Danio rerio: one gene and its partners. Each later gene encodes a partner of the first gene's protein in a complex. Links are inferred from orthologs where the notes say so. Each region holds a gene or a part of one and is shown in the gene's direction. Other genes may lie near its edges.

Evidence for each region.
Region 2: the proteins of nup93 (region 1) and nup35 are in contact, whole or in part, in a crystal structure (PDB 7MW1), measured with the Homo sapiens proteins. The link is inferred for Danio rerio from reciprocal best matches to the Homo sapiens genes NUP93 and NUP35. Residues at the interface, in NP_055484.3 of Homo sapiens: Tyr266, Tyr269, Asn402, Ala407, Asp408, Lys409, Thr410, Glu411, Tyr413, Tyr448, His452, Phe453, Val455, Asn456, Leu461; in NP_612142.2 of Homo sapiens: Ala88, Pro89, Pro90, Val91, Arg92, Ser93, Ile94, Tyr95.
Region 3: nup93 (region 1) and nup107 share a complex: the UniProt entries of both Homo sapiens proteins name them as parts of the nuclear pore complex. The link is inferred for Danio rerio from reciprocal best matches to the Homo sapiens genes NUP93 and NUP107.
Region 4: nup93 (region 1) and nup205 share a complex: the UniProt entries of both Homo sapiens proteins name them as parts of the nuclear pore complex. The link is inferred for Danio rerio from reciprocal best matches to the Homo sapiens genes NUP93 and NUP205.
Region 5: nup93 (region 1) and nup54 share a complex: the UniProt entries of both Homo sapiens proteins name them as parts of the p62 complex. The link is inferred for Danio rerio from reciprocal best matches to the Homo sapiens genes NUP93 and NUP54.
Region 6: nup93 (region 1) and nup153 share a complex: the UniProt entries of both Homo sapiens proteins name them as parts of the nuclear pore complex. The link is inferred for Danio rerio from reciprocal best matches to the Homo sapiens genes NUP93 and NUP153.

The regions. Positions count from the first base shown.
Region 1 is NC_133193.1:18,953,341-18,958,322, forward strand, and holds part of nup93 (nuclear pore complex protein Nup93), read left to right. Parts: intron 1-711; coding exon 712-903; intron 904-985; coding exon 986-1,112; intron 1,113-3,101; coding exon 3,102-3,174; intron 3,175-3,272; coding exon 3,273-3,317; intron 3,318-3,563; coding exon 3,564-3,680; intron 3,681-3,763; coding exon 3,764-3,882; intron 3,883-4,982. UniProt on the Homo sapiens protein: Plays a role in the nuclear pore complex (NPC) assembly and/or maintenance. May anchor nucleoporins, but not NUP153 and TPR, to the NPC. During renal development, regulates podocyte migration and proliferation through SMAD4 signaling.
Region 2 is NC_133184.1:12,404,861-12,410,517, reverse strand, and holds the start of nup35 (nucleoporin NUP35), read left to right. Parts: upstream 1-2,266; 5' UTR 2,267-2,310; coding exon 2,311-2,326; intron 2,327-3,715; coding exon 3,716-3,874; intron 3,875-3,998; coding exon 3,999-4,126; intron 4,127-5,268; coding exon 5,269-5,323; intron 5,324-5,657. UniProt on the Homo sapiens protein: Functions as a component of the nuclear pore complex (NPC).
Region 3 is NC_133179.1:23,342,581-23,347,562, reverse strand, and holds part of nup107 (nuclear pore complex protein Nup107), read left to right. Parts: coding exon 1-88; intron 89-622; coding exon 623-752; intron 753-833; coding exon 834-937; intron 938-2,040; coding exon 2,041-2,168; intron 2,169-2,744; coding exon 2,745-2,793; intron 2,794-3,190; coding exon 3,191-3,262; intron 3,263-3,347; coding exon 3,348-3,436; intron 3,437-3,525; coding exon 3,526-3,718; intron 3,719-4,905; coding exon 4,906-4,982. UniProt on the Homo sapiens protein: Plays a role in the nuclear pore complex (NPC) assembly and/or maintenance. Required for the assembly of peripheral proteins into the NPC. May anchor NUP62 to the NPC. Involved in nephrogenesis.
Region 4 is NC_133193.1:13,627,642-13,631,812, reverse strand, and holds the start of nup205 (nuclear pore complex protein Nup205), read left to right. Parts: upstream 1-1,371; 5' UTR 1,372-1,386; coding exon 1,387-1,414; intron 1,415-4,072; coding exon 4,073-4,171. UniProt on the Homo sapiens protein: Plays a role in the nuclear pore complex (NPC) assembly and/or maintenance. May anchor NUP62 and other nucleoporins, but not NUP153 and TPR, to the NPC.
Region 5 is NC_133196.1:123,668-129,342, reverse strand, and holds the start of nup54 (nucleoporin p54), read left to right. Parts: upstream 1-2,269; 5' UTR 2,270-2,284; coding exon 2,285-2,321; intron 2,322-2,546; coding exon 2,547-2,639; intron 2,640-4,664; coding exon 4,665-4,742; intron 4,743-5,160; coding exon of another isoform or gene 5,161-5,289; intron 5,290-5,675. Other genes in the region: bxdc2 (ribosome biogenesis protein BRX1 homolog), read left to right, coding at 177-227, 1,196-1,297, 1,369-1,497, 1,680-1,931. UniProt on the Homo sapiens protein: Component of the nuclear pore complex, a complex required for the trafficking across the nuclear membrane.
Region 6 is NC_133194.1:48,944,703-48,950,429, reverse strand, and holds the start of nup153 (nuclear pore complex protein Nup153), read left to right. Parts: upstream 1-2,079; 5' UTR 2,080-2,156; coding exon 2,157-2,234; intron 2,235-5,727. UniProt on the Homo sapiens protein: Component of the nuclear pore complex (NPC), a complex required for the trafficking across the nuclear envelope. Functions as a scaffolding element in the nuclear phase of the NPC essential for normal nucleocytoplasmic transport of proteins and mRNAs.

The DNA.
Region 1 (4,982 bases):
ATATATATATATATATATATATATATATATATATATATATATATATATATATATATATATGCTGTACATAGTTTTACATATAAAACGATTTAAATTATTCCATTAAGTCATCCCAGTTATCTAAAGGAAGAGGTTTAAATGGGCATTTGAAAAACTAGGAAGTAAGTCAGTATGCAAAACCTCCCATTCAGTCTCTGCCAGTGTGTGCCTAGCCCAGATAAAAGTGCATGTCATTGTGCTGTTTTCTCATGGCTTAAACTTCTCCTCGCCCAGTTTTAAAAAGGCATCCGCTTAGTTTCCTCCACCTGCCTGATGAGTCAGTCTTATCTCGCCGGCACTCCTGCAGTACACCACATTAAAGACTCGCTCTTTTGCTGATAAGACTCCTTCACTCCCAGCTGCGCTGCCATTACGCTCCATGCAAAGTCGCAGCGGGTCTTTTCAATGCCGCTTTAAGACGTCAGTTTTAACGGCAATTTAAATGAGAGGGGATTATTTCAACTTGCGCAAATGGAAATGAAACAGCCTATTTAAGCACTTCACAGCCGAGGAAGATTTACATGGAACCTATTACTCGCTTAAAGAAGCATTTAAATTCCTTATGTGACAAATCCGTACTGGCTGCATGTGCCCATTGCCAGTGTGTGCTTTATGTGTGTTCTGTAAGTGGTTTTGCTCATAAAGATGTGTGGCATGAATTGTTTTCTGCAGGTGAGTCCCATTTTTCAGCCAGCCACCAGCCCTTCTTGTACTTCCAAGTGCTTTTCCTGACGGCGCAGTTTGAGGCGGCCATCGCGTTTCTCTTCAGAGTGGAGCGTCTGCGCAGCCATGCCGTTCACGTTGCTCTGGTGCTGTACGAACTCAAACTCCTGCTCAAATCATCAGGACAGAGCGCTCAACTCTGTAAGTTGTGACTATTGAGCGTTAAGTGAGAACTTAAAAATTTATCTTGTTTGTAATATTTTTTCTGATCTTTTTTTTTAAGTGAGTCAAGAAGCTGGAGATCCTCCAATGGTGCGACGGCTAAACTTCATCAGGCTGCTTATGTTGTACACACGCAAATTTGAGTCCACTGATCCGCGAGAAGCCCTGCAGTACTTCTACTTTCTCCGGTAATGGGCATTCTATACTTAAGGGTCACAAAACCTTTGTTTTTCAGTTTAGGTCTATCTCAGAATGAAAAAGCTATTTACATAGGTTTGGAAAGTTGTAAGCAGAAGGAAGAGAAGTGAGGGTGATGGGGAAAAGCTGGAGAAAAAGAACACAGCAAACAACTGTCGTTTGTCTTTCATACTGTCATAATGACTTAAAAATTTGCTTAGCAGCGCTCAATGTACAATGGGAAATGCTGATATAGTCACATTTGTTTACAATTCAGTACAAATTTGTAGAATTTAGTATGTCTATTGGCATTAGAGCAGTAATAAGGCCAACAATTTAGGCCATAGCCTGACAGAATTCGGCCCGAGCCTGACAAGTACATTTTGATTTACAGCTTTTTAAAAGTTTAACATTATTCAAATGTGCACATGCACACAGCTCTTTTACCTTTTTTTCAAGAATGAGTCGTTTATTTGTGTTTTAACATCATTTATTCATAACAAACGTAGGCTATAGGCCACTTAGAAGTTGGAACAAAGAAATAAAATAAGTCCTCTTTCCTAACAAATAAATTAATGACAGGTATTTGGCAATACCGAAATTAAGATGAAGGTTCTGCGGGATTTGTTTCACCACTGCTCTTCACAATCTGGCCTTAAGGCGAAGCTGAATGTTAAAATAATAATGCCAGCATTAGCCTGTGTACTCTAACTACATTATGCATTTTTTATTTAATTAATATTTAATTATAATTTGAAAATTCTTCACTCATTAAGATTATGCTATGTGTTTTTGTGGAGGAAAATTATTTAATCAGTCCTGGAAAAAGAGGACATTGAAACTGCTGCCATGGAAAATGAAATAAATGTTCTTGGCTGGTGGAAGATGAACAAACAATCCTACCTAAAACTTGCAAAATTAGCCAGATCAGTATGCCTCCCGGCCTGTAGCAGCAGCAGTGAAAGGGTGATCAGTGCTGTTGGATGCACCATCAGTGAGCGCATGACCAATCAATTCCCACTCCACAAAACTTGCTCTTTTTGACTTCTCTGTTATCATTTGTTTCACCTTTGCAAGGCTGTAACAAACGATTTGATTACTTTCTCACACTAATTGAAATGCATTACATGACTATTAATTTACCATGCAAGCCCGAGCCTGCCCCAACCCTGTCTAAAATGATCTTTAGCTCTAATTGGCATCGCAACCCATTGTGAACACCTTGCTGCACATTCTCACAGCTTGAATAAATTATTCAGAATCAGTAACTCTTATGGGATAAAAAAAAACTCAGTCTCATGAATAATAATTGGAGACAGATGCATCATCGAAGTACTCACAGTCCTATTGTACGTCACTATCAGTAATGCTGCACTGATAGAGATTTTAAACCTGCAAGATGAAACTAGCTCAAAAGCTAGTAGTTCCTTACAATTAAAACTAACAGATGCTAACATTATTGTTCAACAAACATAAAGCTGTAAAAGCCTCATCAAATTTAGTAGAGGATTTCGTCAGCCTTTAAGTAATGCTATTGGGTTATTTGGAGTAACATACTAAAAGAGCTGATGTTAGATTAGATACGTTGAACAGCTATTAAGGAAGCCTATACAAAGCTATTATGAAATAAACTTGTTTCCTGTTTGATCAGTGGCTGAACTGTAAGTCATGTCTTTTTCTCTGAATATACTGTGCGGAAATCCCTCTCCGAGAAGAGATTAATGTGTCATGAATAACTCAGAACCTTCCATGAATGATCCATGAATAATTAAACCTGCTTCATGCACACTGTGAATTCGATGCTAACTCGACCCATTGTTTTAAAAGACCCCACAGCCACTAGTACAAAAAGGAAGCAGTTGATCTTCTTAAGGTCTTTTATCTCAGGGTTTGCATGCATGTCACAAAGCGAACATGTTCCTTTGAATCTTTTATGCCACAAACTGGATAATTGCTGTACTGCAACAAACTAACAATCACTGCTCTCCTACTGGCCACAGGAATGAGAAGGACAGTCAAGGAGAAAACATGTTTATGCGCTGTGTCAGCGAGCTAGTCATCGAGAGTCGAGAGGTAAGAAACTTTGTAAGCTCATTGGAGGAAGGGTTTCTGCATACTAATTGCTGTTATCATTACATAATTCCTGTCAATACTTAACTCTCTTCCTGCAGTTCGATATGCTTCTTGGAAGGCTTGAAAAAGATGGAAGCAGAAAGGTATGTTGGAGGCTTTTGTTGTAATATCACCTGACTGGCAGACAGCGAACGTGCCCACTGTTCATTCTTGGAACCCATTGTGAAAAGCTTGTTCGTTCAGGCTTTCAGGGTTGTGTAGAATGTGCTATTGTCTCGCAGGGCCTGTACAACACACTCCGGCTTTTCATGCTCAAGGCTTATTGACAAACACCATTGTGCATTCAGAGTCCTGCTTGCTCTAAGCAGTGTTTGTTTGAATCCATTCAGCCTGGTGTGATTGACAAGTTTGCCGGAGACACGCGGGCCATCATTACCAAAGTAGCCTCTGAGGCCGAGAACAAGGGATTGTTTGAGGAGGCCGTCAAACTCTACGAGTTAGCCAAGGTAAGATAAGCTGAGACGGACCTTTGGGTTTAGCAGTCTCTTGTAATTGTGCCTAAAACATTTTTTTTTATTTCCTGCTCCAGAATGCTGATAAGGTTTTGGAGCTGATGAATAAATTGTTGAGTCCAGTCATCGCTCAAGTCAGCGAACCTCAGTCCAACAAAGAGCGACTCAAAAACATGGCAGTGGCTATTGCTGAAAGGTGAGCATTATGAAACTAAGTATTTCGGTCACACTTTACAATAAGGTTTCATTAGTTTATGTATTGATTAACATGAGCTACTTATAAACAATGCTTCTACAGCATTTATTAATCATAGTTCAACGTTGTATAGTGCATAAGTAACATTCAAATTCATGCTTTACTGTGTATTGTTCATTAGTAAATGCATTAACTAATACAACCTTATTGTAAAGTGTTACCAGTATTTCTAAACATTAAAAAAAAAATTATGACTAAACTGACTATTTACGACTATTATTTATGACTAAATCTAACAATTATGAATTATTAAAATGTGTTATGAGTTTCAACATTCTATTCAAGTTTCAAAATTTCAACTGAAAGTATTAGTTGACCCAAAAATCTAAATTCCGTTATTAATTACTCATCCTCATGTCATTCCAGTCTCCACCCTTTAATCATTTTTGAAGAACAAGTTAAGATTCATTCATTTTCTTTTCGCCTTAGTCCCTTTATTAATCTGGTCTCGCCACAGCGGAATAAATTATCCAGCATATGTTTTTTGCAGCGAATGCCCTTCCAGCTGCAACCCCTCACTGGAAAACATCCATACACACACAATTACACACATACACTACGGGCAATTTAGCTTACCGAATTCACCTATACAATATGTCTTTGGACTTGTGGGGGAAACCGAAGCACCTTGAGCAAACCCACGTGAACACGAGGAGAACATGCAAACTCCATACAGAATCGCCAACTGACCCAGCCGGGGCTCGAACCAGCGACCTTCTTGCTGTTAGGCGATCGTGCTATCCACTGACGCCCTACAAATTGAGATATTTTAGATTAAATAAAAGAGCGGTCTGAAGCTCCATTTACAGCAAAGGTTGTGCAATGTTTAAAGTCCAGAAATGGAAGCAAAAACATACAAATCATGCAAAGATATGGGGAATACAAAATCTAATACTAATACGTCATATTGCACCATGCACCCTAATGACCAGACCAGAGAAGACACTGGCTAACAAAGTTGTGTTTACAGTTTTGTGACACACAACAGTGTTCTTGGATCTTCATATGATTACAGTTGAAGCATTAAAGTCATATGGAGT
Region 2 (5,657 bases), on another chromosome or scaffold:
GCAGGCATTCATTTTGCACTGGCATACAGCATGTGGGCCAAACATGGCCCAGGTTTGGCAGAGGTGGCACCATCTTTAACGTGACACACAAGATTTAGACCATATGTAAAAAATGTTGTTAAAAATTGATATGTGGCCCACATAAGTTTGGCCTGTCTTCACCCACATTTAAAATACATTAAAATAATTTTTGAGTAAAGAAAAAGATTCTACCAATCAGGTCACTTTGAGAAAAAAGCACACCCATAGTGTGCCTAAAGCGCAATGCTTCATGGGTTTATGAATTTAATTGCAATTGTGACGCACCAACATATCTGGCCCAGTTCAGGCCCATTTATGAGTTATTAACTTGGCTGAGACTTGGCCCAGATATGGTCCATGTTTGGCCCTTGTATGGAAGCCAAACTTGGTCCAGTCATGTACAGTAATTCACCGCAGCATGTGGGCCAAGCAAAACCTGATTTTGTGGGCCAGAGCTGGGCCAGAGAAATTTTGCTATGTGGGTTAGTGTATGTGTGAATGAGTATATGGATGTTTCCCACACTCTCGGAAATAAAGGTATGTGAGCTGTCACTGGGATGGTACCTTTTCAAAAGTTACAAATCTTTACCTAAACGATCCATGTTAATACCTCAAGGGTACATTTAGTGCCTACATTTTTTTGGTACTAATATATACCTTTGAGGTACCAATATGGACCATTTAAATACAAATGTGTACGCTTTGAAAAAGTACCACCCCAGTGACAGCTCACATAAAGTACCTTTATTTCTGAGTGCAGCAGGAAGGGCATCCGCTGTGTAAAACATATGCTGGATAAGTTTGCGGTTCATTCTGCTGTGGCAACCCCTGATAAATGAAGGGACTAAGCCAAAGGAAAATGAATGAATAATGAATGAATGAATGAATGAATGAATGAATGAATGAATGAATGAATGAACGAACGAACCTAAAAAACATCAACATCAGCTATCAAATTATTGTATTCAGTCATATGCAAGAAATGCACTGTAGGCTATATAAAACCATAAACGTATTGTTTTACTTTTTAATAATGGAGACTGAATATTTCAGCAAGAGGAGGAGGATGTCAATATTTTACTACTCCAGAGGATCCAGGACAACAATGCAACCTTGTGAAACAACAGTGCCACCTGCAGATTAGTTTGTGTAAGAACATTCTACTAACGCATGCAAGTATACAAATTTGAGATCTACCTTCCTTGTACAGCTATTTAATATTAGATATACCATAACAATGGATGACATCAAGTACAATATAAACAAGAAAAATGATATAAGAATATCTAAAATATGCTAAAATAAGATAATAAATAACAGGGTACAGAGGCAAAACTCATTAATTCATTTTCTTGTCGGCTTAGTCCCTTTATTAATCCGGGGTCGCCACGACGGAATGAACCGCCAACTTATCCAGCAAGTTTTTACGCAGCGGATGCCCTTCCAGCCGCAAGCCATTGGAAACATCCACACACACTCATACACTGCGGACAATTTAGCCTACCCAATTCACCTGTACCACATGTCTTTGGACTGTGGGGAAAACCGGAGTACCCGGAGGAAACCCACACGAAGGCAGGGAGAACATGCAAACTCTACACAGAAACACCAACTGAGCCGAGGTTCGAACCAGCGACCTTCTTGCTGGGAGGCGACAACACTACCTACTGTGCCACTGAGAGGCAAAACTATCAATATTAATAATATTTACAAAGTCTTTTGAAGTTTTCACAGTTCTTACACTGTTTTTGCTGTAAACATTTTGTTGTAGTTGTAGTTAAACAATTAAAGTCACAAAGAAAATTCTGCAAATTAGGTAATGATGAAGAAAATGCAAATTTGTGAGTATAATATTTACCCAGTAAATAAATAATAAAATTGCCTATAAATTCTGTTATGTTTGTTATGAGAAAAGTAACTAAATCACATATGGAAAAAATTAATGTTGAATTTACATTTTGATGTAAAAAGACGGATAAATCAGACAAAACCCTTTAACATGTGGCCATTTGATAAAAAAATAAAATTATCGATTTGATGCTTGAGTTACAGAAGACACAATTTGATTTAGGATTACCAAATGTAGACGCAATCTTGTTACTGGGGATAAATAAAAATTCGTTTGACATCCTTCCCTGTAGAGGCGCGACAGAGGCGCCCGGAAGTGCCTCTCGCTGGTGTCATTAGAGCACGCGCAACTTCCGTCTGGTTCAAAAAATTCTGCACTCTCCGGTATTCGGTAAAGCAGATCTAATCTTCTGTTCGTTTACTGCCTGTTAGTCATCCAGTATGGAGATACAGAGTTGTAAGTATTCGTGCTTTTCACAATTTTTGAGTTTGTAGGTTTTGAAGTGTTTGTATGTCGATGAATTTGTGGAAACGGGCGTCCCCGTGGCTTAGCTAATGTCAGCACACTGCAGAAAGACGCGTGTTTTATTCCCCTTAATAACTTTATTAAACTATTTCTGTATGTGGGTGTTTTTATTTGCTGTGACGTGACAGCCAAATCAAGTGCCTGCCAAATAGGGTCTGTTTTTATGTGCTTCGTTGTCCATATCAAATTGGTGTTATCGTTAAAGGGAGAGTTCACGCAAAGAGAAAAATTGTCATTTATTTAGTTTTCTTGTTCAACTTTCTTTGTTCATGGTGTCCGCGGGGTTTTTAAAAAAATATAAAAAATGATAAATATATTTAGATAAATTTAAGACTCTTTTAAAGCATTAACAAGTCTTTTGCTATTTTACAAGGAATTCACTTTTGTATCAGTATGCTAAAGCTTGCCCGAGTCTAATCTTGGAATATTGGGATGCTGTGTAGTTTATGAAATCAAACAAATCCTGCTAAATTTGACATCACGCTGCTTTGTTTACTGCAGTAAACCTGATAAACACTTATTCCTGCTGCTGTAAAGGCTAGATTAATATTTTTATCTAGTTTATAAATACAGTTAAGGATTAGTTTCTTGCAATCAGTATTTATAGTCAGTAAATATATTGCAAATTAAAATGTTAGCAATGTTACTCGTTGAAACATGAAGTGGTAATGAGGTATGCAAAGAGTCTTAAAAAGGTCTTAAAAGGTTTTGAATTTCAATCTCTGTATATACCATGTTGTGTTGAATGCAAAGCCAGATATTTTGAGGGACTACTTTTTTCTTCTTTATGGATGTGTATTGTGTTTGGCTACCGCCTTCCAAAATTCTTCAAATTAGTTTTTGTAAAACAGAAAAAAAGTAAATCACTAAATGAGATAAAAGTCAGTTTGGTTTTATATTTGCACACAGACTTTGATAATTTATATATATATTTTTAATATAACTTAATTTCAGAAGTATACTTTGCAAATTCTTAATAGGGTAATCATATAAGCAGCTTATGACTATCAAAGTGCAAAATTAAATAATGCTAATGACCAAATATTTAAAGTAGCATGTCAAAGTGTCACTGTTCAAAAATGAGCGAATGTGTGAATATAAACAGGGTTCATACAGTCATGGAAAAGTCATGGAATTTGTACATTTTATGTTTAAATATTTTCCAGGCCTGAAAAGGTTTTGGAAGAACAAAAAAATCCACAAAACTAGACTGTCTAAAACTAGAAACTAGAAAACTAGAAACTAGAACTCCAGGAATGTTATAGGCTTTAATTTTAAAAAGCATTAAACACTGTAAACCTTTCAAATGTCTCATAACAGGTATTGAACCAATGACGCTCGGCTCTCCAACCTCTCCTAAGCCTGGGGCTCAGTTTTTACCGGGGTTTCTAATGGGAGACCTGCCTGCTCCTGTCACTCCCCAGCCCAGGTCTTTTGGTTTGACAGGTGGAGCAGAAATCAGGTCTCCTCTTCTTGCTGGTAAATGCATATAACAATGCTTGTTATTGGTTACAGTGCTTTGTTGATACCTTAATTATGGTTATTTTTATACTTATAAGCAAAGTTGCTTTCTTACAGATTTAATGTTCTTTTTTTCCATCAGGTGGGTCTCCTCCACAGCCTGTAGTCCCAACACCTAAAGATAAGAGCGGAGCCCCTCCAGTCAGAAGCATCTATGATGACCTCAATGGCTCTGCTGTGGGAATGTCACCACTTGCTGCTCGCAAACAAGTGAGAAGTGCTAACAAATATGAAAACTTTAGTTATTACTATTATTTTGGTTTGTGTAATTATGCAGTCGTGGATGAAGAACAAAAATAAATACTTAAGTGCGGTAAACATAAAGTATTATTGCAAGCATAGTGTTATGTACCATGTATTTAGTTTTTGTTTTTGACTTATGAATTAAAAAAAAAAAATGATAGTTTACCCAAAAATTAATTACACCATCCATTAATCATTTCCACAGGTTCCATACCTGTTTGAGTTTCTTCTGTTGAACACAAAGGAGGATATACTGAAGAAGGTTGGCAAAAAAGCCATTGAATTCCATAATATTTTTTGTTCTGACTATGGCTGTCAGTGGCTGCTTTTTCCAGCATTCTTCAGAATATCTTGCTTTGAGTTCAACTGAAGAAAAAAATGCAACAAAAATTTAAAACCACTTGAGTGTGAGAATTTTTCTGTTTGTGCAGGCTGTCCCTTTAATGAATGCTTATTTTGCAAGAAAACATGTTATTTTATTGCTGATAATTACACTATTACTGATAATTCTAGTGTACAACACTATGCTAACATTCTAGGTCAATTTTTTGAATGACTTTTCCTACAACGTAAGGAGTCACATAACCACATACTGTTAAGGCAGATTTATTCTTATTATATTATGATGTATATTTGTTATGTTATTATGATATTATGCTTCTGCCAGGTGCACGGGTATGGTCTGGCGCAGGCTTCGCATACATATGCTCCTCTACACATCTCAACTGTTACAGCTACACGTTACTTTACAAAACTTGTCACAAAACCTATCGCTATATGTAACTTGCCAACTATGAGGGCAAAAACATAAAATAAATAAAATAATAATAACACAATAATAATGTATTAATAATATATATATATATATATATATATATATATATATATATATATATATATATATATATATATATATATATATATATATATATATCATTAATCGGAATCGAGTTAAAATGTTAAATTAATCAAGATTTAGATTTTAGGCCACTGTAGCACATGTTTTTTTCTTAAACTTGCTGTATTCGACAAAAATATTAAATTGTGGACATGTCTATATTCGAGCATTTCAGATGGTTTCATTGTCTTATAAGAATTTGTTTTCACAGCCATTTGCTGGAGTTCACACACCATTGTCTGGTCTACAGGGTACACCAGGAACAGGTAAATATGCTTATTTAGTAGAGCTGTGGTGAAAAATCTCACAAGAAATCAATTCTGAGATTTTCAAAATGCCTCGCTGTTCTGTCTTCAATCGATTCTGAGTTTTTAACATCAGATTTTGCTGTATGCTTTACAAACAGGTGTGCTCTACTTTTATGCAATTCTTTACATCTACTACTTGAACTTAAAATAAACATTAATCAAGTTAGGAAAGGTTTAAGCCACAGGTGTCAAAGTCGGTTCCTGGAGGGTTGCTGCTCTGTACAGTTTAGTTCCAACCCTAATTAAACACACCTGATCTAACTGAGTCCTTTAGGCTTGTTTAAAACCTACG
Region 3 (4,982 bases), on another chromosome or scaffold:
TCCCGATGTGTCTGCCATCCTCGGGACCTCAGGAAGCAGAACCCCTCGCTTCGTAAACACACCTCGTACCAAAGGCGGCCTGAGCATGGTGAGTGACCTCTGTTTGTACAAACATAACATCCTTTATCCCTCTGTACAGTCTATGTACAGATCAAGATGAAATGATTATCCCTCCTGTTAGATTTGTATTATTTTTTTCAATTATTTCCCAAGTGATGTTTAATAGAGACATTTTTTCCAACACATTTTAAACAGTAGTTTTAATCGTAAATATTTTATAACTAATTTATTTGGTCTTTGCTGCGATGACATTACATCATACTTGACTAGTTCTTTTGTGAGATACTAGTAATCAGAGTAATTTCAATCAGAGTCCAATTTCAAGGCAATGCAATTTTATAAATCATTTTCAAGGTGGCTAATAATATTGACCTAAGGTTTTCTTCCAGTCAAACTAAAGTAAACCAGAAAAATATATATATAATAGAAAAAATCTCTATTAAACATCTCTTGGGAAATATAAAAAAAAAATAAAGGAGGGCTAATAATTTAGCCTTTGACTGCAAATTTAGTTGGTGTTAGTAACATTTTTGTGTGCTGCTGTTGTTTGTTTGCTCTCCAGAACTTGGATGACAGTGACTGGACGAACAGTCTTTACCCATCTCCTCTATCAGGAATAGTGGACACAAGCTTTACTGACGACGTTAGCATGAGTGCTCTGATGCTGAAGGAAGATGATCCTGGAGAGGCTGGTGAATACTCTTAGTAATTCATAATCACAAATGAAGCGGTCAATTGACATGATTTTCAGCTCTTCTGTTTTCTTCTCTTAGCTTCTCTTGGTTTGTTTCCTGAATTCCTGGAGTCTTATTTGCGTCATGCGTCCACAGCCGTGTTTGACCTGTTGGAGGAATATGAAGCTCTCTGTCAAGATAAGGTACACTAGCAGTACATAATTTAAATTTAAATATATATATATATATTTTTTTTTTTTTTGATCGTTTAGGCTGTATTAAACACAAACAGCATATATTTAATATTTTTATAAAAAAAAATTATTATTATTAACGTTGAATTTGTATAATTCAGTTTTTCTGTAGATAAACAATTATAATACATTCAGGACCTTTAGGACAAAATTTTCATTTTTGCTATTCCATTTTTTTTCTGTTTAAGCAAATACTCATACATACTTTGCTCAAATGCATCAATTGTGTTTACAAGACATGCATATTGTAATGTTGGTTTAGAAAATGTTAAATATTTTGACACATTTTTTTCAGTTTTGGACCATCGAGCAAATAATCTTTTTTTTATTCAGCTTTTTAGCACTGCTGGAAAAATGTATTTAAATGATGTAATTATAATTCTGGTTTTTGTGTTGTATGGATGGATAGCAGAGTTTGTTTTGTATGTAGTACATACTGAGAGATTTTGTTTTTTATTTTATTTTAGATTATTTTTTGTGCAGCATAACTTAAAAAGTGCATTAAAATAAATGTTATTTCAGATCCTTGACTTATCCAAGACTAATAATCCTACGTATTAATCCTGTAATACATCTTCTTACCTTTAGTATATGTGTGTATTGAGAGGAGATTGTTTGTTTTTGTGTGTTTTCCAATAAAACAGTAACATGTAAACTAATTGTAATTTTAAGGATTAAAATCATTTTATTTTTCCAAGTAATCATCAGCACTGATTTGAGTTGTTTAAGAAACTAATACTTTTATTATGTTTTTTTACTCTCGGTTGACCTATGTGTAACTGTTTTAAAATTCACACACAATGCTTGAACAAAAATATGAACTTGTTTGACAAAGGAATTTTGATAAGTAGCTGTATGTAATGCATAAAATATTTTCATATTCTATGTACTGGTAAGTGATTTTATGCTAAATCTGTGTACTGGTAAGTGATTTTATAAAAAAAAAAAAAAAAAAGACTATAGTCTTTAAAAATGACTTTAGTTTTTAGTGTTATAGCAAGTAAAAATATTGGCACAACAAGTCATTACTAATGCACTGTCCTGACTTGTAGGTCAGTGTGTTGCAGAAACTGGTTCTCCGTTCAGCCCCTGGCCAGCAGAAATCCTCCAAGACTGTCAGCATCACCTGGTTATTGCAGCAAGAGATGGTGACCTGGAGACTTATCACCTCTCTGTACAGGTACAACACACTCATACATTAGACCACACACACTACTGTTTTGATGAATGCATAAGAAATAAGTTGTTATTGAAGTTTTTTGTATTTAATCTATATTAAGCTTGCCATAAAATACCCATGAGTTGCTGATGTGGCAAATTTATCAAAATTGACAGCATTTCAAATCTATTTCCATTTCAAATGAATATTTTTGATGTTTTTTTGCTTAGTTTATCTAAAAATGCAAAAATGTTTCAGTTTCCACACAAATATAAAGCAGCACAACTTTTTTCAACATTGAGTTTAATGAGAATTGATTATTTACTGCTAAATCAGCAAAGTCGAGGGATTTTTCAAAGATTATGTCTCAATAAAGACTGAAGTAATGGCTGCTGTAGTAAATTAAGCTTATCTATTACTATTCACTGCTGTTTTTTGATCAAATAAATGCTATGTAAATACAATATTATGAGTTTAAATAAACAATAATAATAATAATAATCTTATTAATACCAGACTTTAAAACAGTAGGATTTTTAAATATCTGAATACTATTACTTTTTTGCTTATGTATTGTTAAAACTCTCTCAAACACAGAGACAGAGTTCAGACTGTTTTAGAAGAAGACATCATGATGGATATTACTGTAAGTGCATGTGTGTTTCTTTCTACTCTTCTGCTTGGGATAGAGCTGCGTAATTCTATAAAACCAGAGAATCACAATTTTATTTGTATTTTTTTGCTTGTTTGTTTAAATAGAGATGCAGTTTTATTCTGATTAGACAAATTGACACAATGTCAATTAATTTACTGGAGCTTTTATATAATTTTATTTGCTGCAATCAAAATGCAAAATATGTAATTTTTTTTTATTTAAGATTCTTTTTTATTTGGTTTAAATTAATGTTTTAAAAACTCCTAGTCAATATAATACAGTGTCCGTATCAGTTTCATTTAGACTGTTCGCCCTGGTGTGTGCCATGTTTTTACTCATGGACATCTCACTTTGATATGAACTGTTTCGTGTTGTGTTTTCTCTGGAGATGCCCAGTGAGAGTGAGAAAGCAGTAATGGAGCAGTTCTTCCAAAAGGACAGTATGGTGCGACAGAGCCAGGTAAACATACATCCATTTTACACCAATATATTTTTACATTGAAAAAAAAAAAAAAGCTCAATATCTGATGTGTGTTTTTATTTAGCTGGTGGTGGATTGGTTGGAGAGTATAGCAAAAGACGATATAGGAGACTTCTCGGATAACATTGAATACTATGCTAAATCTGTGTACTGGTAAGTGATTTTACCACTCATTTATGTCTTTGAGAATGTCTCAGTATGTCTAAATAAAATTTTTTATTAATCTGTTTGTTGGTGTGCAGGGAGAACACACTCCACACGCTGAAGCTGAGGAGGAATCAGTCCAGTGGTGGTTTAAGCAGGCCACTGGTCACTGAACTGGATCCCGATGCTCCCATCAGACAGAAAAGACCCCTGGCAGACCTGGACAGAGAGGACGACTCTCGCCTCCTCAAAAACCTCTTCAATCTCATACGAGCTGGCATGACTGATGAGGTATGTGTGTATGTTAGTTGAGATGCTTTATTAATTCCCTTAAACGTATAGGTCACCCTACATTTTTTATTTCCTTACTCAAATGGTTGTACATATTATGAATTTCCTTCTTCTGTTAAACACAAAACAAAATATTTTGAAGCAAGCTTGTTAAAAGCCGCTTTTGCACTTAATCTGGGAACAAAAATGCTGTGGAAGTCAATGGCTGCTTTTTTTCTCCAATATTCTTCAGTATATATTACTTTGTTTTGAACAGAAGAAAAAAACTCAAACAGATTTGGAGCAAATCAGTAAACAGAATTTAGATTTTTCAGTGAACTGTATCTTCATGGGAAAACTTGTTTGCCACTGTTATACATGATTAATGAAACGGTAAACACAACACCACAGGCAGTCTATGCAGAAATGACACACCTTGTTTTTAAAACTAGCTGCAGGAATGTTGAGAGATCTTGTGCATGAATCTGTAAAACATAACCTCCTACTAAAAATACTATTTACAGGATAAGCTTTACAACACAAAAATCATTTTCTCTTCCACCCTTGTTTTCTTTTCTGAAATAACCTTGGAATTAGGAGTAAAACAATAACTCAACCAGCAATTTTTGTAGTTTTGTTAATCCTATATTTTTTGGATGGTTATTAGGTATGGCCATTCTTGAGGTATTTTGTAGTTGAGTATTTTATTATACATAAATACTCTGATTTGGCCACAAATGTTAAGTTACATTTCTGTTTACACAATGCTTGTGTTATGGGTCTGTACTGATACTATACTAAGCTGTAATCCTGTAATAACATGTTAGCGTATTTGTAATTACACACTTTGAGTAGTTATTCTAATAATAATAATTGTGTCTAGGTTGTGAGTCTTAGGAGTTTTCTGTTTATTTTAGTAAATGCTCTGAAGTACCTTTAAACTTCAACTAAACTTAAATTTTCTTTTGAACGGTTCAAAAACACAAGAAAAGAGAAGTGTTTGTAGTGTCACATAGCCAGGTGGCTTTTCTATGGTGACAATCATTCAGAAATGTATGGCATATCTATAAAAATAATTAAATTTTTTAGAGCTTCAAAGGGAATATATGACAGTAAAGTCTGAAATTTATCTCCTTTTTTTAACTGCAGAATTGTGGATACTGAAAATGTCACTTTATAAATTTGTCTCTCTCTGTGTGCATTTGCAGGCTCAGAGGTTGTGTAAGCGCTGTGGTCAGGCCTGGCGTGCTGCCACTTTGGAAGGCTGGAAACTCTACCATGACCC
Region 4 (4,171 bases), about 5.3 Mb from region 1:
GACTTACACAAACTTTTTCAAGTTGTCCTTGTTTTCAAACTACTAAAATTTAGTTTTTCTCTTAGATTATTTCCCCCCTTGTCTTTCTTCAAAAAACTTTTTTATGCAATTAGGAAGTAGTTTATTCCTAGCTTTAAACATAAATTGTGCTGTTTTAGATTTAACCAAATAATTGAACTTAAGTATTTATGATTTTGATTTAATTTAAAAAATAAATTATTTGTATGCTCCAAATACCAAATAATACTGATATCTGATTGGAAATTAATTCATCATTATGTCATAACCCTCGCTTACTTTTTAGGTAGATACTTGTGTTATCTTTGGAAAGTACCATTGCGTTTTTTTTCTGGTTCCATTGGCCAGGAAATTAGTATTTAAAATAGTATGTCTTGAAGCTGAAATACTTACGATAAAGGGCAAAACAATCTATGCGTCTAGTAAGAAAATAAAAAAAGTAAAGTAAAATTGATATCCCATGGTTTTATTATAGTAAAAGTTCAGTATGTTTTTGCCTCGCAAAATTGACTGAGAGTCTCATTTGAAGTTCTGTAAAAGAGATATTGTGTTTATTATTATTCCTGATTTCGATCTTTGTTGGTGGGTTTGTAGGACAGTACCACCCTCTGGTGCTAGAAAAATGGGATATTAATAATTTTCAGGCAGTATGTGAGGCATCAGTCGCTCAATTTCACTTAATGTCAACTATTTCGCTTGGTGGCTCAAAAACGGGTCCGTCCATTGAGTCGTGTGAAGTTCTAAGGGCGTTTTTTTGTCTAATCAAAGATACACGCTGGCTAATAATATAACCTTTTGTTTGTAATGCTTACCCAAACCGACATTCGTTAAACAAATGCAAATTTTAAAGCAATTTTCCTTATGAACGTATTTATTGAAATGGCAAGGCGCTGTAATCACAGATGACTATGATTTGTATGATCTTAAATACGGTGAGAAATATAACATGCACCACGTGACAATGCTGCCTACGTTGAGCAAATGATTTATGTGTAAATAGCTGTCAGGACGATCAATTTATTTGAGAAAACTATCTATACAAATAAAACATAAAACATTATTCACCCTGAATATGTAAAATTAGTAGCAACTTTCGTAGTGTCAGTATCCGCTTGCTATTGTAGCAAAGAACCAACCTGCATGCTGATTCTACCAACTTCTATTTCTATAGGTCCTACGCTCATGTGGTATTTATGGCAAAAACACAACAAACCAATGTTGTCAAAAATAAAAATAAACAAATAAATAAGCAATAAGGCAATAAATAAGAGCATACGAATGTAAATAAATAAAATCTCTTCACAAAAGAAACCGAAAGTTATGTTTTCACACCGGCAGAATTCAGGGCAGCCCACTCACGCTTCAGACATGGCGACGCAGATGGCGGTAAATTCAGGTATTAATGTATACATTTCGTATTCTTACATATTTAATGTTTTATACGATATATAACATTGACTTTTGTGTTAGCACGTTAAACCAAAGTATTTTAATACATTTAAAGTACAAGTACTTCGTCAGCCATTCACTTTATCGCTACCTTCACCAGAAAATAGGCTTAGAGTGTGTAACTAAATGCGCAACTAACGTTACATTGCTTACTATTATCTGGGCTCTTCTTAAACGAGGTATTATTAAAGTAAAAGTCTTTGTAAAACTTGTTCTTTTGTGCGACCAGAATAAATAAGTTGACGTTATTTAAAACATCAATGTCTCCTAACATCAATGTCTGTTAAATTGCCTCGTGAATATGCCCTTTACGTCTAATAAAAATGATACATGGACAAGATAAGTCTAGGTTTAAGTCTAAAGATACTTTAATGTCTATATACGAGTTATGTTTATACTGTTGTTTAGTGGTTTACATATTATTGAGGTCAAGTTGATTTTATATGCGCACATATTCGTTCAGTGGCAACTTGTGACATGCTTCCTATATTGTTTTTAACGTGGTTACTTTGAATATTGGGTCTGAAATCACATGTAGGTTTGACTTTAAACAACATTAACACTATTTATTTGACTGTGAAATGTGGTGTACTTTGATAGTCAATGACTGCTAATATGATTTCATGTTTATAATCTGCAAAAAATACTTTCTCGAAACTATATTATTGAGGAGAAATCTGAATGTGTGAATATACCTTTAACTTTACCTCAATTTAAATATTTTGTCTTCCATTTTACATTTTTCATGTATTTGTTTCCTTGTTTTGTACCTTAGGAATGTTGTTAATGATTGTCAGTGAAATGAAAGTTAATGTCTGTGTTTTATAATGTGTCTTTGTTTACCTTCTGCAATTCTACTGTGTAAGTTCTACCTATAAGTCGAGGCAACTGGTTGCTCTGCTTTTGAGATACTTATAACATTTAGTTTTTTGTTTTGTCTTTAAAAAAGCACATTTGACAGCTTGAGTTTTTTTTTTTTTTTTTTTTTACCTTTATAGGTCATGATAGTTTGTGAAATTGACAAAAGTACTAGCCTGAAGTAGGGCTGTGCGATTTGGGGAAAATATCTAATTGCGATTTGTATTTTTTTATTTCTGACAGATATTGCGATTTCAATTTGATATGCAATTCAATTTTGTAGTCAAACTTCAGCTTAATAAACTGTATTGTAGCTTCTGTGTTAATTAAAATGAAGAACTAAAAAAAATAATAGCAATAGTAATAGCAAACAACCTGAAATTGTACTTTGCTAGCTACTAGATTAAGTGTCACAGCCAATACTTTTAGTTGATTTTTTTTAGCAAGACACTCCTCATATAGCGGCCTGTGGTGCATTTTTAGGTGCTGGTTGCTGTATGTCCTCATGCTGTGGGAACAATTCTTTGACAGCTCTTACAAATTGCCTGTTTGTGTTCGGTGTCTGTGACTTTGAAACCAAAATATTCCCATATAACAGACCTGCTGTTTTTCTTTGATATAAATTCATCTATTAATGCTTTTGAAGCGGCAGATGTCATCATCCCACTCGTTTGCGCTTTCCTTTTTTTTTTCTTTTTTATTGTGGGCTTTTACATACTTTCAGTTGAGCAATTCTGATTGGCCAGAATGAAAGTGTGCTCACTCAGTAAGACTGTCTAGTAAGACTGTCACACACAGACGGCAGTCACACATTTGCTCTGGGTGGAGGAAATTAAATAATATATTTCATATAGCAGCCTCTTGTGATTGCAATTCGATTTCGATTAATTGCACAGCCCTAGCCTAAAGTATGAAAAACACTAGTCTGCACTCTGCAGACACTTAAGAAACAGGAGGGTTGAAGTAGTCTGAAACAAAAACTGTAAAACTCAAATCGCAACAAAATGACAAAAATAATCAGTTGAAAACAGAAAAATTCAAACTATTATATATTATATCATACGTATGCTTAATCATACGTCACACTGACAGGAGGAAAAATGTGAAAAAGCAACTTTTTCAGTCACTAATATAGAGAAATGCATATGAAGAGTTTAGATGCAAAAACCTCTAAAAGCCATCTGATGTTTTCTTCTAAAACTAGCATTTTTCTCCGACTCGTGTGTTGGCTCATTCATTCATTCATTTTCTTGTCGGCTTAGTCCCTTTATTAATCCGGGGTCGCCACAGCGGAATGAACCGCCAACTTATACAGCAAGTTTTTACTCAGCAGATGCCCTTCCAGCCGCAACCCATCTCTGGGAAACATTCACACACACACTCATACACTACAGACAATTTAGCCTACCCAATTCACCTGTACCACATGTCTTTGGACTGTGGGGGAAAGCGGAGCACCCGGAGGAAACCCACGCGAAGGCAGGGAGAACATGCAAACTCCACACAGAAACGCCAACTGAGCCGAGGTTCGAACCAGCGACCTTCTTGCTGTGAGGCGACAGCACTACCTATGTGTTGGCTCAGTAATTTTACATTTATAGTGATGGATAAGTTCTTTTAATCGCCTTTCAAGTGAAATAACTGAACATAAACATTGGAGGTTAAGAAAATGTTTCTTTCATTTAGAGGTTTTTGCATCTGAACTCCTTATATATATATTGTAAAGAGATTGTGGTTCTGTTTGCAGGAGCCAGTCTGTGGGGGCCGCTGAAGGAGCTCTGGGAGGCTGTGGAAGGGGCCATTTGGAGACGTCAACCAGAAAGTGTTCATCTTTTAGATCTGCAGT
Region 5 (5,675 bases), on another chromosome or scaffold:
TGATGATGTGCGTGTGTGATGATGGTGTGTGTAGTGTACGAATGATGATTGTGTGTGTGTGTGTATGATGATGATGATGAGCGTGTGTGATGATGGTATGTAGTGTAATAATGATGATTGTGTGTGTGTGTGTGTGTGTGTGTGTGTGTGTGTGTGTGTGTGTGTGTGTGTTTCAGGCGTTTGACTCGGAGCCGCAGTACGCACTGCTGAAGGAGCTCTTCACTCAGGTGCTCTTCAGTGTTTGTCCTCTGTTCTTCATCTCTTCCTCTCTGATCTTCCTCTCTGATCTTCATCTCTCTCTGATCTTCATCTTCCTCTCTGATCTTCCTCTCTGATCTTCCTCTCTGATCTTCATCTTCCTCTCTGATCTTCCTCTGATCTTCATCTTCCTCGTCTGACTCTGGCATGTAGGGTTGCAGATGCTGGATGTGTGGTTGTAGTCTGAGGAAGACTCTGTCATGTGTAATGGCGCTGCTGTGCTGCATCAGCTGGTGACAGTATAGAGCTCTTCACTGCGGCTCGCTGCCTGATGCACAGCAGACCCAGCAGCATTTCCCTGTGGACTCAACAGAAGACAAGAGTTTCTGGCATTTAAACATGAGGAATAATGTGTTCACTGAAAATAAACGACAGATCAATCAGTCAGTCAGTGAGCACAATAACAGCTGTCTGTATTATTGATGTGGTTGTGAGTATTGGCCTGTAGAGAGAGTGTGTGCAGTCGCAGGCTGCATTAGGAGTGTGTTTGCTGTTCATCTCGTGTTTCTCTCATGAGCAGTAATGTGTGTGTTCCATATGAAGGATGAAGCTGATTGGTCCATTCTAGTCACGTGATGCACAGTGCGCTCGCACCGTTCTTTTAACCTGGTGTGCCTGGAAAGCGTGAGCACATCGTGCCGCTCACGAAAAAGCAAACTAGCTTGTAGAAAAGACGGCATGTGAGAACAGCCCTCAGTGATCAGCCCCCGCCATAGCTACAGCCGCCTTTAATCCAGTGTGTGTGTGTGTGTGTGTGTGTATTCGCCCCAGTGTACATGCTCAGGACTTAAACTAGCGCACAGACTGGTTTAAACTGGCTTATAGCTGGTCTAGACTGGTTTATAGTTGGTCTAGGCTGGTTTATAGCTGGTTTAGACTGGTTCAAACTGGTTTGTACTGGTCTGCAATGTCCACTAACACTGCTCGTGTCCTGCAGGTCTTCTCCACCCCGCTGCACCACCCTAAGAGTCAGCCGTTCGTGGATCATGTCATCAGCTTCAGCATTGCAGACCACAGGATCTGGTTCCGGAACTATCAGGTGAGGTTCTGCGGTTCTGAGAGGATCTGCGGTTCTGCGGCGCTCCACTGACCGCTGTTCTCCTGTTGCAGATCGTGGAGGAGGACGCCTCGCTGGTGGAGATCGGCCCGCGCTTCGTCCTCAACCCCATACGCATCTTCCAGGGCAGCTTCGGCGGACCCACGCTCTACGAGAACCCACACTTCCAGTCACCCAACGCGGTCAGCAGCGCACACACACACACACACACGCACGCACGCACGCACGCACGCACGCAGCACTGTCTGCTACTGATCTGTTATTGATCTGAGTGTTAATATTGTTTTGGTGTGTGTGTGTGTGTGTGTGTGTGTGTGTGTGTGTGTGTGTGTGTGTGTGTGTGTGTGTGTGCGCGTGTGTGCAGCACCGGCGCATGCTCCGACTGGCTGCAGCCGCGCGGCAGAAGGAGCGTCAGATGGTGAAGCAGGTGCGGATGGAGAAGCGGATGGAGGAGTGTGTGCTGCTGCAGCCTGACCTGACGGAGGCCGTGTTCAACACCCCGGCGGAGCCCAAAGCCCCACGGCCGGAGGCCCCGGGGCCCCAGAAGAAGAAGAAGAAACGGCTGACGGAGCTGAAGAAGAAGACCCTGATGAAGAAGAAGGGCCTGAGTGTGTGAATCTGCACGAGTGTGTGTGTGTGTTCATGATCATCATGGTGTGTTAATAAAGATGTTTTATTAATGTTGACGGTTGTGTCTCTGTCTTCATGTCGTCTGCTGACTGCAGCACATCCTGAGCCGCAACTGAATAACGGCCAGGTTTAATGTCCCAACATGGCGGACTCTGAGTGCAAAAGCACAGTTGAACATTTGAGCGGCGCTGTTCTGCTGATGAGCTCCAGTTTCACTTTAATCTATATCAATGTTTTCGCGCGCTACGCCGGAGGAGTGTGTGACGCGACGCTACCGGTAGGAACCTCTTGTTCACAGCTTTTGTTTCCGGGCGGACCGTTTCGCTCAGGACCGGAAGCATGGCGTTCAACTTCGGCGGCGCGTCGGGCAGCGCGAGTGAGTAAAATTAATCTAAAACTATTAATAATGAACATTAAACATGATGACGGCGCTGCAGGAGCGCTGATACTGCTGTAAACCTGATACCACTGTGCTGTAAACCACTGGCGCTCATCTCATCTGCTCTGTGTGTGTGTGTGTGTGTGTTTTCATTACTGTGCGGCTGCTGTTGTGCGTTCATAACTGTGTGTGTGTGTGTGTGTGATGGTGATGATGATGAAGGCGCTCCGGGCTTCTCATTTAAGTCATCTTCATCCACTCCGTTTGGTTTCGGCGCCTCAACCACAACCACCGCCAGCAGCGCCACGGGCTTCGGTAAACACACACACACACACACACACACTCTCCCTCTCTCCCGGGCCTGTGAGGTAAAGCTAGTTTAATATGTTCAATTTGTGATCAGTGACGTTTTTTGATACTCTTCACTCCAGTATACACTACAGTACACACTACACACTCCAGTATACACTACACACTCCAGTATACACTACAGTACACACTACACACTCAAGTATACACTACACACTCCAGTATACACTACAGTACACACTACACACTCCAGTATACACTACACACTCCAGTATACACTACAGTACACACTACACACTCAAGTATACACTACACACTCCAGTATACACTACAGTACACACTACACACTCAAGTATACACTACAGTACACACTACACACTCCAGTATACACTACACACTCCAGTATACACTACAGTACACACTACACACTCCAGTATACACTACACACTCCAGTATACACTACAGTACACACTACACACTCCAGTATACACTACACACTCCAGTATACACTACAGTACACACTACACACTCCAGTACACACTACACACTCCAGTAACACTCCAGTACCGCTGCTGTGCTCTGCAGTATTGGCTGGTAGCAGGAGTTCACTGTAGAGTCTGCTAGTGAGCTCTGTCAGGGGTTGTGTTGGGGTGAAGGTCTGCATGTGTCACCCCGCCGGTCCCACACCACCCAACCTGCACTGAGCTGGGATCAAACCGGCGACCTTTCGCATGTTAAGGCTGATTTATACTTCTGCGGCAAACGGTGGCGTATGCTACGCCGCTGACCAATAGCCATTCGCCGTGGCCATCGGCGTCGCTGACGTGCACCTCTCAAAAAATGTAACTACACGTCACAACAACGCGTAGCGCAAGCTCTGTGATTGGTCGGCTTGGTATCGCTGACGAGTCTGGGCGGGACCGAGAGCCGCGCGAATGTTTACAAGTGAAGGAGCTCCGGATGGAGAGTTTTGTTCTGTGTTTCCCTCATGGTTACAGTTGCTGCACGTCCGCCGGTTCCTGCCTCAAAATGAGCGAGTTTGAGCCACTTGTACATCCAGGAAGTGTTCAGGATAGCAAAACAGCAGCGAAGAAACTCGACACAGAGGAACATTTACACCTCACTGCCCACTAGTGCTTCAGAAGTGTTAATGCAGACCAACAGAGCTAGCAACAGCAGTATAAGCACAGCTACACGCGTTACATGCGCCGTGGGTCACGCCGCTCACTTGCTGCAGAAGTATAAACCAGGCCTTACAAGGAGGCGAAACACCATGGCCTCTAGTGTCTGTCGCTAGAGCACCTCTAGAGGTCGGAGGATCGAGGTTTACCTGCACAGCACTCACTAGCTGACCTCCATTACACATAACAGCAGCGCTCCCCCAGTTCCCTCCTCAGCACACACACACACACACACACACACACACACACACACACACTCTGCTCTCGTCATCTGCACTCTGCATCTGAGTGGTGTGTGTGTGTGTGTGTGTGTGTGTGTGGTCAGGGTTCTGCTGGTTGTTGGTTATATTGACCTGTCACAGTTCAGTCAGAGTGAGTTGTATGCTGTAATGATGACGGGGTCACTGTGGTTAGAGAGATGTGCTGCAGTTCAGCTGCCGTCAGCAGACCACACCGTCAACCCTGCTGCTCTTCCTCCCGCCGTTCTCCTGTATGTGACGGTTCTGTCCCGATATCATCCTGTAAAGCTGTTTCTCTGGAGGCTGGCAACAAACATCAGAGCCGATCCTCCCTATACACAACCCAGACTGCTGATCCACCAGGGGGCGCCGCTTGCTCTTCACTGCGGGTCTGTTCTGTGGTTTCGTTATGTTCAGGCATGAAAACAGTTATAATTAACTATAATAACAGCAGGATTCCCTTCCTCTCCATCACAGACAGCATCGCCCCTATACAGTCCTCTAATGCAGTATAGCACACAGCCTTCATCCTCATCATCAGTAATGTTTCACTGCGCGTGCACACACACACACACGCACGCGCTGCTAACATGCTGTTGCCATGGTTACAGGTCTGACCGGAACCGGCTTTGGAGCGCCGACCACCACATCAGCTTCCACAGGCTTCGGCTTCGGCACTGGTGGCACGGGTGAGTGTGTGTGTGTGTGCTGTCTCTAACACACTGACTGACTCTCTTCTGTGTGTGTGTGTGTTTGTGAGCGAGCACGTGTGTGCGCATACGTGCATATGCTGTCACTAACCCACTCTCTCTCGTGTGTGTGCGCGTGCGTGCGAGCATGTGTTTGCTTGCGTTCACGTGTGTGCGTGTGTGCTGTATCTAACAAACTCTCTCCTGTGTGTGTGTGTGTGTGTGTGTGTGTGTGTGCGTGTGTGCATGCGCTGTCTTTAACACACTCTCCTGTGTGTGTGTGCGCTGTCTCTAACACACTGACTCTCTCTCTCCTGTGTGTGTGTGTGTGTGTGTGTGTGTGTGTGCGCGCTGTCTCTAACACACTGACTCTCTCCTGTTTGTGTGTGTGTGTTTCTCCTGGGGCCGCTGTGGTCAGGATTCGGGCCCCTGGTCTGCAGTGCGGGCCCTGGCCCCGCCCCCTCTGCCGCTGCTGTTAGTTTCGGCGGGTTCGGTTTGGGCCCTGCGGCCCCGGTGTTCAGTTTCGGCAGCGGCCTCGGGGGAGCAGGTAGATGAGCTCCGAGAGGTCAAAGGTCACGCATGATCAGATCACGCCACGCCTCCATCCCTGTGTGTGTGTGAGAGAGAGAGAGAGAGTGACAGACAGACAGACGTAGTGTGTGTGTGTGTGTTGGTGCCACTCTGATCATGTCATCAACAGTTAGTGCTCATCATCTCCGGTGTGTGTGTGTGTTTTCATCTTGTGTGTTTTTTTCGTCTCTGTTGTGTGCGTGAGTGTGTGTGTGAGTGTGTTTTTCATCTCCGGTGTGTGTGTGTGTGTGTGTGTGTTTTCATCTTGTGTGTTTTTTTCGTCTCTGTTGTGTGCGTGTGCGTGAGTGTGTGTGTGAGTGTGTTTTTCATCTCCGGTGTGTGTGTGTGTGTGTGTGTGTGTGT
Region 6 (5,727 bases), on another chromosome or scaffold:
TTCAGTTCAGTTCAATGTGGTTTAATTTTCACTGTCCAAACACTGGAGCAAATCCATCGATGCGCAGCTCCACATGGTCCCGAACCATGCAAGCCAGTGGAAAAATGTCACAATAAATGAAAAAATAATACAGAAGGAAACCATCTATTAATAAACAAAATTAAACTAATTGTTTAACAAATTTGTAAATAGTTAAATGAAAAGTTTCTATAAATTATTTAATGCTACTTGATTAAAACTATACAAAATATTAAATGAGATTTAATTCAATTATCCGGAAAAAGGATTACATTTGTTTAAACAAACAATAAATACATCAATTGTATTCAAATTAACAAGAAAGTCAGAATATATTAAAAATAAATAATTTATTAAAATGAAACAAAATTAAACTGTTTACAAACAAATTTGTTAAAAAATAAAATTTAAATAATGTATTTATAATTAATTATTATTGGAAAAAATATTAAATTAAATTTTCTGAAAATTGAAATAAAATTGATTAAAAAAAAGAATAAATACACAAATTACAATTAAATTAACAAAAAAAATTCATTAATTTTCTTTTTCGGCTTAGTTCCTTTATTAATCAGGGGTCGCCACAGTGGAATAAAATCGCCAACTCATCCAGCATATGTTTTATGCAGCGGATGCCCCTCCAGCTGCAACCCATCACCGGGAAACATCCATACACTCTCATTCACTCACACACTACAGCCAATTTAGCTAACTCAATTCACCTAGTGCATGTGTTTGGACGGTACGGGAAACCGGAGCACCCGGAGGAAACCCACGCGAACACAGGGAGAACATCAAACTCCACACAGAAATGCCAACTGACCCAGGCTCGAACCAGCGACCTTCTTGCTGTGAGGCAAGAGCGCTACCCACTGCGCCACCGCGTCACCCCAAGAAAATTCTGAATAAATAAAAAATTATTTATTTATTAAAATGATACAAAATGAAACCATTTATTAACAAACAAATTTGTATGTAATTAAATGAAGATTATATTTAAATAATCTAATAATAATAAATTATAATTAGAAAAAAAAAATCCTAAATCAAAATCAAATAAATTACACGTTAAATTGTTAATATGAAATTTATTTAAACAAACAATAAATACATGAATTACATTAAAATGATGAAAAAAATGTCAGAAGCAATTAAAAATTAATAATAAATGCATCACAAAAAAGCAGAATTAAATAAATAAAATTAGTATAATTACAAATGAGTATAAAAATCAATTAGAAATATAATTAATAAATCAATACAATGATTGCATAAAGTAAATTAAAATAATATTTGGTACATTATTTAAAACAATTAAAAAAAAAAAAAAAATATATATATATATATATATATATATATATATATATATATATATATATATATATATATATATATATATATATATTGTTTCAACTGCAAAGCGATGGGTAGTATAATCGCCTCACAACAAGAAGGTCGCTGGTTCGAGCCTTGACTGGGTCTGTAGGTGTTTCTGTGTGGGGTTGCATGTGTTGGCGTGGGTTTCCTCCGGGTGCTCCGGTTTCCCCCACAGTCCAAACACATGCGGTACAGGTGGATTGGGTAGGCTAAATTGTATGTTGGTGAATAAGTGTGTATGGGTGTTTCCCAGTGATGGGTTGCGGCTGGAAGGGCATCTGCTGCGTAATACATATGCTGCATGAGTTTGCAGTTCATTCCGCTGTGGCGACCCCTGATTAATAAAGGGAATAAGCCGAAAAGAAAATGAATGAATGATATCTAATATCTAATATTTATGTTTACACTACATAAGCTATGGGTGGTTATACAAGAACCATTCATGACTGCTAGATGTTTATTTCTGGCATGAAGATGAACATATTTGGAGAAACCACTGTTTTAAAAATGAAACAGAAAGTATCTTGACCTAATTTACTAAATACCTCAGTTTACTCACATCTACAAAAGCAAAATCCCCTACCACCCGAACGAAGTTCCTACAAACTGACGTCAATAGTGAACGCGCATGAAGTGTCCTCCTGAACTACATATCCCATGAAACCCAGCGCCGCGGTGGCTGACGGTATATTGGAGGGCCGCGCTGTGACAGCGGAGCTCTATCCGGCGAGCGCTACTGAGCAGACTCAATCTAGTTAACCATGGCGGCGACAGGAGGAGGGAAAATCAGATCCAGAAGACACCACATTGCGTCAAAACCCTACGCCAAAGGCAAACAGGTAAACAAAACCAACATGAAGCGCCAACAGCGGGGAATGTAACGGTTATTAACGGAACCCTAACCAGCGGTTTGGCGGCGGGTTTTGTTTTTGTGAAGCAGGAGACATTTTGAGGCCTGTTTTAGGCCTGTTCACGTTCTTCCAGCACACGCTTTCCACACCGCCAACTCATTTGACTGATAAAACAAAGCCACTCGGTGAGGAAAATACTCGAAAATATGGCGACTGAGAAGTGAAATTTGAATGTGTTTTCACTGAGGTGAAGACAACCGCGTGAACGCGTTTCATACCCAAACCGTTAGCCGTTAGCTGCGGCTAGCACCGGCGTCAGATATAATCACTTCAGTCCAAACAAACCATTAAAACTTGGTTTTCGTAGCGAACGATTTCCTATTTAAGTTCTTTATACTCTTACTTTGACTACATAACTCGCGTGTGTCGCTCAGAGTGACTCCACATGAGAGTAATGAGCTTCAGAGCACTTTTTGTGTGCGTGTTGTTATATTTGTAAGTTTTAAGCTTGGTTGATGATCGTTTTGGATGTGATTAGAGATTAATATAACGGTATGTTTTGGCGTACATTATGCTGCTTAACGCAGTGGGGTTTGACATCATGAAGAAAGGCGGGATGAGCGAGTGTGTGCGTGTCGTGGCGTGTTTTCATCTGCACATCACACACACACTGGAAATCCTGCACTCATGTTATTTCATAAAGAACGTAAAGGTGTTGTGATTAACACAGGTTCGTGTGTGTTTTCATTAACAACAATTTTAATTAGCCTTATAGTGATCCTGAATTCATCATAAACAGTTATTCTGATAATTCATAACCTAAACACTATGAATCATAGTTGAAAATCACTTTGCATTTTTCGTGATATTACTAGATTATCTGTTTTAGGCAAATTAAGTGGGTTAGAGAGGCACATAAGCTATTTGGCAGTCAAAAACGCATTTTCTTTTGTGTGAGGTTTAATTAGAAGTTAGAAATAGTCGATGCATAGTGTTATGTGTAGGATACTGTAAAAATGAGACTGTTGATGTATTGAAAAATCATGAAATAAACTGGTTCGTGTTCAGCATGGTCAAAGTGTGTATTCTGGTATATTTAGTAATTAACCCCACGTAGAAATGCAAGATGTGAAGGCAGTTTAAAAGTCAGGGCGGTACATACTCGTATTTTTGTTGACATTTGTGCATCATTGCGCCTTGTTTTTATTTTCTACTGTCAATAGATTAATTGCACAGTATATTCTTTTTTTTCCCAATGAATTTAAGCCCCTCATTAATAAGGTTTTAAAACTGCATGTTCCAAGCTTAATAAAAAAGCAAGCACTTTATTGAATCTAGCTTAGGGTACATTAATTATGTTTATGCTGATCTATTAAAACCACAAGAAATTTTGTATTCGCCATGATCGGCCTGTAGCTCTCTGTGACTTACTGAAGAAATGCTGTGTGCTCTAGTTAAGTATGCTCATGTTTATTAGTGTTGTTTTGACTGTTAAATACTTGCTCATGCGTAAATATGTTATACACATACGAATAACCTCTCTGCTTTCCCCAAATCACTTTTTATTCTTTACCTGGTTACCTGAAAACAAAGTTTTTTTCGTTTTTGTTTTCTCCCAAAAAAGCCACATTTTACTGGACTGTCCTGCTTTTAATGATTCCAGAAGACTTTTTTTATGAAATTAACTCTTTTAAGGACATTTTTAACAAGGTGAAACTAGAAAAGATTTTAGAATTTCTATCATGCATCAACACTAAAAATCCTATTTAATTTATGTATTCTTTTGTTTGTTGACTTTTAATTGTGTATATATATTGTTGAAAGGTTCCTGCTATGAAAATAGCCTTAGTTGCTGAAATGGCATTAGATAAATACATTACATTACATTCCCAAAAAAGCCATAGTTGTAACCTCTTTATAAAAAGTATGCTTTGTCAGGCTTATAAATGCTGGGGCACACCAGGTTTACGCCTTACAACTAGCGCCAATGAAAACCGTTTGTAAGATGATTTGTTTTATTACTTTGCTTCGCAATAATCTGTTTTGTTGTTCAATACATGAAAACCGAACTTCCGACATGCACATGCAAAGTAGAGGTGTAAACCTACACTGGCCTCACGGTTCGGTTACGATTATCATGCCATCGATTCTATTCATTTCGATATCTCGGTGCATCACTGTGCATTGTCTGCTTTTTATACTTTATATGTGGATGTTTTGCATTTTCTGATTTGTTACCCTAATGTACAAGTCGCTCAAACTTACTCATTAAGATGCGGGAACCGGCAGACGTGCAACAGCATTAATCATAAACACAAAACTACAGTTTCCATCCGGAGCGACTTCACAGACTCTCGACACTTGTAAACACTCACTCAAACAGGTTGGCGCGGATCTCTGTCTCACCCACACTGGTCACAGCTAACAAGCTGACCTATTACAAAGCTTGTACTATGCGTCGTTGTGAAAGTATAGTTATATTTCTTGAGAAGTGTGCGGCAGCCACTGCGAGTGCTATGCAACTGCAAAGGCTGCACTGGAGCATACAAGTGCGCTTGATGAAGAAATGTAAATCAGCCTTAATTGTCTGCTTGCTACATTACTTCAGTTTTTATTTTTGCACTCTGATTGGTTGCTGAATAACCAATCAGATGCTGACCTTGCCCTGTAATCTTCAACATAAACCCGACAATACACAACGTGGAACACACCAAACCAACTAGCGAGATTGACGGCTGATGCAACCCTTTTCACAAGCCTGTTATGAGATGTTTAACAGTCATCAGCCTCTACATCTTTGGAAGTTTTAATATTTAGATTTTTTTTTTTTACATAAGAACATTTATATGTAATTATGTATGTACTACATCGTCTTTGCTTCAAATTACAAAAAACAAATTACCACTTGTGCCAGGTGTTTTTAATGCAGCTTCTACAGGACAGGACAGACATTTTGTCTATTCTCTCCTCTGGCTGCTGTCATCAGTCTTGCACTAATTTTTTCCCTTTGTCTGAAAGTCTTTATAACATCATCGTAGAGTTTTTTTTTAATTATTTGAGCAAATAAGATTGTAAAAAAAATGTTTTCTCCAATTTTCTGCGCTCTGAAATTACCCAACTATGACGACTTCCGCTACTGAGAAACGCGGAAATGTAAAAAGGGCATATGGCCGACCGATGGATTAGTGCGTCCTGGCCTTAAATGTAGTTGACCAGAAACTGCATAATGTTTTCAGTTTTTATGTTGTAAAGTGTGCCATGTAAATGGACATTTAATCTCCGTCATATGCACCAAGGCAGCTTTCTCAAAGCAAATTAAGTCTTGTTTCCCTTGCCTCAAGTTTCAAGTATTCAAGTATTTATAGAAATAGTCAACAATACATTGTATATATTTAAATTATTGACATTTTAATGCTAAAAAAACTATTGGAATATCGATCTAAAATTCATGTTGATTTAAGGCATGTAAAGGGTTGGGTAT